Linked DNA regions of Cricetulus griseus. The protein of the gene in region 1 interacts with the protein of each later gene in a pairwise test. Links are inferred from orthologs where the notes say so. Each region holds a gene or a part of one and is shown on either strand. Other genes may lie near its edges.

Region 1 (3,250 bases):
AGGTGAGGACACCCAGGACCTGGGCTAGCTGTGGGTCTGCTCTAGCCCAGCCCTCAGGCCTGAGGCCCCGCTGTTCCTCCTCAGTGCCATTACCCCTTCCACCAAGTCTGCCATCTCTCCTCAAGAGGTTGGTGCTGGATTTCTGATAGGTTTTGGTCTCACTCTTCTGTCCTCCAGTGTTTACATCTCTCAGTGCAAGTTAAGTCCTTGCTGAACATAGTGATGCATACCTGTAACCCTGCACTCTGGAGACAGATGCAGAAGGGCCAGAAGAAAAGGCTATCCTAGGCCATGGGAAGCTTTCTTTTTTTTAAATAGCTATTTATTTATTATGTATACAGTGTTCTGTCTTCATGTATGCCTGCAGGCCAGAAGAGAGCACCAGATCTCATTACAGATGGTTGTGAGCCACCATATGATTGCTGGGAATTGAACTCAGGACCCCTGGAAGAACAGCCAGTGCTCTTAACCTCTGAACCATCTCTCCAGCCCATGAGAAGCTTTCTTTAGAGACTGGTCTCACCATGGTGGCCCACGCCTTTAATCCCAGTACTTGGGAGACAGAAGCAGGCAGATCTCTGTGAGTTTGAGCCAAACTGGTTAGTCTACAGTGTTCCAGGACAGGCAGGGCTACACAGAAGAAACCTTGTCTCAAAAAACATTTTTTTTTTCCTTGAGCTTGATCCCTGTCGCTAAGGAAAATAAAATCCCTTGAGACAGATTATAAAGTTTCAAGTTAGGAAAATGGAGTACAGCTTTTTGAATGAATGATGGAATGTGTAGTAAACTACATTTAAGCCTTATAGTAAACCCACTGATTAAAACATAAAAATAAAACCAGTATCCAGTATTAGTGGCTTATACAGAAAACACTGAAATTATCAGTACAGCAGTGACAACCATGAGATTCAAACCAAAAAAAAAAAAAAAAAAAAAAAAAAAAGGAATCTGAGGAGCTGGATAGATCGCTTAGTGGTTAAGAGTACTGCTCGTACAGAGAACCTGGGTTCAACTCCCAGCATCCACATGGCAACTCCAGTCCCAGGGCATTCAACACAACTAAAAGCAAACATCCATACTTTAAAAACCTGTAGTATATTCTACAGAGCCACTCACAGCAGCAGGCTCCAAGTATGTGGGTGCTGCCAGAAGGCCTGAGGGCCCAGCACACAAGGGTGGGTGGCAGTGTTCTATTGAAAGAACAGGCTAATACTGTGGCCCCTGTGGGTCCTGGGAAAGCAAAGGGTGGAACAGCGGCAAGGAAGCCCTAGAGGGCCCTGAGAATGAACCTACAGGAGGGCCTCTTAGGGCCTTCTAACATGGCACTGACAGCTGGTATTGGGGGTGGGGGTTACCTCAGATTATGAAGCAGATGCAGCAGAGGATGCTGGAACTTAAGAAGACTCTACAGAAGGAGCTGGTGAGTGCCCACTTGTGCCCTCCACGCACTCAGTCCCATATGTCCCTGATTCTCTGGTCCTCCTGAGGTCATTGACTCCCTGGGGGGGGTGTGTTCTCTTAGTTGATTGCAGAGGGTTCTCTGAGAAGTCAGGTGTGGGGTGGTGGGAGAAGGGTCTTAAAGCTTGAGAAGTGTTCTTGTGACCATTTGACCTAGGGCCCACGGTCTGAGTCTGCCTTATCCATGCCTGCCTGCATTCTCACATAGAGAGTTCCCTAGTTCACTCCTCTTACTGACCCCAAGAGAAGAGCTGAGCCTTCCTCAGCTCAGGCACTTCCTTCTAGTCAAGGGCCCTTTTGCCCAATGATGTGCAGTTAGTCGAAGAGCTAGTTACAGCTGGGTCTGGAGAATCTTCCTGTGATCCTAGAATTAGCTGGAGGGGTTTGACATGGCACATTTTCCATTGCTTTTCAGAAAATCAGGCCTGACAGTGAGCTTTTTGAGGTCCGGGAAAAGACAGGCCCTGAGATACCAAATATGGCCCCTTCTGTCACCAATAATGCTGACCTGACTGATGCCCGAGAGATCAACTTTGAATACCTTAAACATGTTGTTTTAAAATTCATGTCCTGTCGAGAATCTGAGGTAAAGACTTCAAAATGCTTTTTGGGGTATCGGGCTTGTACAGCCAGCCAGTCCTGCATGGCTTCCCTCAGCCTGCTTCCACCTTCTTCCCTCATCCCTCAGTACTGACTTGTTGAGCAGACCATGAAGGGAAGTGGTTCCCCTCTGAATTTTAGCTTGTGTTGCTGAAGCCAAAGACCTAGAAAGAGTCTGTCCAGCATGAAGAGCAGGGTTAGCTGTTGAGGATATTCTCTTGGCTCCCAAAGTCAGAGATGACTCAAAGAGCTAGAACTGCACCCACCATCTCATCCTTGTGAACCAAGGGAAACAGGAAATGCTGCTCTTTAGTCCCTCAACTGCCTGCCTACCCCCAAGGCCTATGGCAACAAAAGTGGGTTTTGTTGCAGGCTTTTCATCTCATAAAAGCAGTGTCAGTGCTGTTGAACTTTTCACAAGAAGAAGAGAGCATGCTCAAAGAAACTCTGGAGTATAAGGTAGGCTTTCCCTAGTCTGCTGTTTCCACCGCTGCACAGGTGTCAGTCACCCAGGCACTGACACCCAGACCAGCCACAGTAGTACCTCAGCTTATTTGCTTTTGGGGGGGCGGGGGCATTAGAGACAGTGTTTCTCTGTGTAGCCCCGGCTGTCCTGGAACTTGCACTGGCCTTGAACTTGAGATCCAGCTGCCTCTGCCTTCTGAGTGCTGGGATTAAAAGCTTGTGCCACCACTGCCTGGTAGTTTATTTGCTTTCGTAAGATGAAATTGACCAGGCAGTTCAAAGAACATTCTTTTATTTATATTTTATGTATGAGTGCTTTGTGTATATACCTGCACACCAGAAGAGGTCATCAGATCCTATTATAGATGGTTGTGAGCCACCATGTGGTTGCTGGGAATTGAACTCAGGACCTATGGAAGAGCAGCCAGTGCTCTTAACTGCTGAGCCATCTTTCCAGCCCCCAATGTTCTGTTCTTTGTCACTGCCAGACACCAAACTATAGCTCATCACAGAATTTTCATTGATGTCACTTCCTCAACTGCTCCAGTTCGGGCCTGGCACCTACATTTAACAGTGTTTTTTTGTTTTGTTTTGTTTGTTTGTTTGTTTGTTTGGATTTTTTTTGTATAGCTCAGTGGTAAAGTACTTACCTAGTATATGCAAGGTCTCAGGTTCAGTCACCAGCACAGCAAACCCCATGAAGTTGCTAAGGTCCCTGCATAAATGC
Region 2 (3,655 bases), on another chromosome or scaffold:
ATTCCCCAGTTTCTGGATTGAGGCAAAGAAAGCCTTGGCAGACCAGTTTTGCAGTGTTGTTCTGGGAGTCATTCCTGGTTGCCCAGCCTTGTGTCTACTTCCACCATTTCAGCAAGTTTGCAAAGCGCTTAATTTCCCAGATTAAGTTCCTTTCTGCTTAAAATAGCTAGAGGGCTTTATGTCTATGTACATGAATCCCAACTGGTTTGATTGTTAAGTGCAAAATGCAGGCCACTAAACAGTGTCTTCCTGATGGCAGGATTAACCCATGTGTTAACCTTTCCAGTGACCTAGGGAGGGAAAATTGAGTGGGAAGAGAAAAGTTTGGTAGTTGTACCATTAAGAAGGTGCCTAATAGTAGACCTAGGTCTGCATTATTATTCTCTTTGGATGTCATTGTGTTTGGCTTCATTGTTACGTAAAATGAGTTTTCATTTGGCATGCTTCTACCGGATGAAAGGAGGCCAGTGTGTTCTGAAGTGTGCTCGGGAGTTGTTTGCTTTGACACAAGTATGATTGGGAGGTGGCTGCCACTGATCAGTTACCATTCTCAAGAGGAGGGGTGCACCCAGGCACATGGGTCCACAAAAGGAAGCACCTGAGAGGGTCAGGATCAAAAGCAGCAAAGGGAAAAAAAAAAAAAAAAAAAAAAAAAAAACCCTCTGACACAGCCTTTGGTTTCTATGGGAAAGAACATGCAAGGCAGGGGTAAGCAGACTTATGATTGGCTAGTTCAAATCGTTTTGGTGGGCTCTGGGATAGGTCTGTTGTTAGTTATCTGGTTACCAGTTCTGGGATGACTAGGGCAGGGAGCCTTGTGAAAAAGAAAACAAAACAACAACCACAGGGTGGAGAAAAGGCAAACGGGAGGGGGGGGTTAGTTGAAACCAGGCATGGTAGTGCATGCCCAAAGTCCCAGACACTTGGAAGCAGAGGTGAGAGGACTGTCTGAGCCAGGACTGTAAGACCAGTCTCAGGGACATAGCCAGACCTTGCCTCAAAAAAGAAGAGAAAATAAAAACCGACCAAGGTTGTGCTTTCCAAGTTGGCTGGCTTACGTTTGAAGAATGTGCTGTCTGGCAAGTGTTTGTTCTTTCTCAGAACCAGCCAGTTCTGAAATGAGTATTCCCTAAAGGATTAGCAAAGTTCTAGATGCCAGAACATCAAGAATGCAGGAAACAAGGACCACTGAGATGGCTCAGTGGGTGGAGGTGCTTGCTGCCAAGCCCCATGGCCTGAATTTGTTCCCTGGGACCCACCTGATAGAAGGAAAGAGCCAACTCCTACAAGATGTTCTCTGTCTCCACACATGTGCAATGGTGTGCACAGGTACACATACACCTGTGTGCACATACACATGCATACAAGCACACACATGCATATATGCACATGCTAAAACGTTCAGTCCCCAGAACCCCCATCAGATGGCTCACAACTGCCTATAATTCCACTGCCAGGGAGTCCAAGGCCTTTGGGCTTCTCAGACACATGCAAACTCCTGGAACACAAAAACTCTCAAGCAGGAAGGCAGACAGACAGACGCATGGGGACACACACACACACACACACACACACACACACACACAGAGAGAGAGAGAGAGAGAGAGAGAGAGAGAGAGAGAGAGAATAAATACATAATAAATAAAAGGATATAACACTTAGATAACATTTTTGTTTCAACTAGAGAAAAGCGGTTAAAGGAATGGCAAGCACTTAAGAAGAAACAAAAATTTGGAGAACTGAGAGAAATTTCTGGAAATCAGTATGTGAATGAAGTTACAAATGCAGAAAAAGATTTGTGGGTTATAATTCATCTCTACAGATCAAGGTAACTACCATGGAATGTGGTAATTTCAGAATGTTGGTGCCATAATGCTTTAAAAACACTTCTAGCTTTAGACTTCATGATGCCTATGATGAGGAATAACTTAGAGAAAGAAACATGTATTACATATGAATGCATTGCAGATTGTTTATCTCTAGGGATTAAATTAAGTATGCTAAAATATTTTCATCTCCAATTTGAAGTCTGTCACATTTGTTAGAAAAGTGATCACTGTTTGGTATTAAACCACCTATATCACCCCCCACCACCACAAACATACACACACCCCACTAAGCTGACCTCAAACTCAGCCAAGGATAGTCTTAAACTCCTGATCCTCCTTCCACCCCACAAATTCTGAGATTATTGTGTACCATCACAAGGAGCATGGAAAAAAGTGGAGGTGTGGGGGGCATAGGGTGGCAGGGAGTGAGCTATGAACTCACGTGCCAAAGTGCAGGGTGGTACACTAGGAGGAAGGGAGGGATGGGAGAGTGTGTGGAGTGGGGCGTCTGTGATGGATGAAGTGGAAAGAATTGGAAGTTTGGGATCCTGCTTTTAACCAGTTTTAAATTTTAGATGAGAAATAATTCTGGATACTGGGATCCAGGATGCAGAAGACTGGGTGAAATTTATTAGGATCAAGAAAGCCAAGGAAGTCTGAGATGAGGCACTCTGGATGGGAGTGCCTGTGAGGTTAGACCAAGAAGTGACAAGAGTTGGATCCCTTTATTGCAGCTCAGAGCTACCCCAGATTCCCTAGACATGCCTGTTTTGCATTTGTATTCCTATATTCTTCCACCTAGGATGCTAAGTGACTAAAGTAATGCTAAGTGGAATGTAGTTTACCTAAATTAGGATGCATATTCCCAGGGTACCAGCATCATTCCTAGGGTACACATATGCTTTTATATAAAAAGTAAAGATCTATTTTTGCAATAGATAGGTTTCACTTATTTGGCTAGACTAAGAGAAGCAATCTGTATTTGAAACACATTGTGCATTCTCTTTTTTAGCGTCCCCATGTGCTTGTTGGTCAACCAGCATCTTAGTCTCCTAGCAAGGAAGTTCCCAGAAACTAAATTCCTTAAAGCCATCGTGAATAGCTGTATCGAACACTACCATGACAACTGTTTACCAACAATTTTTGTTTATAAAAATGGTCAGATAGAAGGCAAATTCATTGGAATTATAGAATGTGGAGGGATAAACCTCAAGTTAGAAGGTAATGATGTAATTTTTGTTTAATGTTTGTAATAGTAACAAGTGAAAAGTTCTCCAGATGAACAAATATGAGTTTATTTCTTTGAAACAAAGTTTTCCCCCTTAATTTTCTTCTTTTTAAGATTTTAAAAGTTGTATTAGCAAGCGCAAGCATGCACGCACATGTGTGTGTGTGTGTGTATGTGTGTTCCTGTGCAGTGTGCATGTTTGGTGCCCATGGAAGACAGAAACAGTTGTTGCATTACCTGACACTGGAACTCCAGGCACTCATGGTCTGCCATGTGGGTGCTGGGATCTGTGTCTCCAGCCATTTCTCCAGCCCCCATTCAATTCCTCTTAAAAATCCTCCAGATAGGTTTTCCTGTTGTCATGGGTATAATATCATAACACCTTTTGCTTAAGAATCTTAATGGTGTCTGTTTAAAATAACTCTAAAAATGTAAACTATTTAGTTTAGAACCAGTCCACCTGCACACCTCTAATTCTCAGTCCTGGATAGTGGATGCCTTAGTTGGGCTGGGCTTAGTCACTGAAGATCCCAGACAGAACTTTACACTCACACTTCATCATAAAAATCTCTACTTTCACCCAAATTCCTCAACTTTA

Evidence for each region.
Region 2: the proteins of Golga1 (region 1) and Pdcl2 interact in a two-hybrid assay, tested with the Homo sapiens proteins (2 studies listed by BioGRID). The two-hybrid records come from large-scale screens. The link is inferred for Cricetulus griseus from reciprocal best matches to the Homo sapiens genes GOLGA1 and PDCL2.

The regions. Positions count from the first base shown.
Region 1 is NC_048599.1:150,281,908-150,285,157, reverse strand, and holds part of Golga1 (golgin subfamily A member 1), read left to right. Parts: coding exon 1-2; intron 3-1,360; coding exon 1,361-1,420; intron 1,421-1,873; coding exon 1,874-2,044; intron 2,045-2,430; coding exon 2,431-2,517; intron 2,518-3,250. UniProt on the Homo sapiens protein: Involved in vesicular trafficking at the Golgi apparatus level. Involved in endosome-to-Golgi trafficking. Mechanistically, captures transport vesicles arriving from endosomes via the protein TBC1D23.
Region 2 is NW_023276807.1:142,752,725-142,756,379, reverse strand, and holds part of Pdcl2 (phosducin-like protein 2), read left to right. Parts: intron 1-1,684; coding exon 1,685-1,828; intron 1,829-2,841; coding exon 2,842-3,050; intron 3,051-3,655. UniProt on the Homo sapiens protein: Essential for male fertility, spermiogenesis and acrosome formation.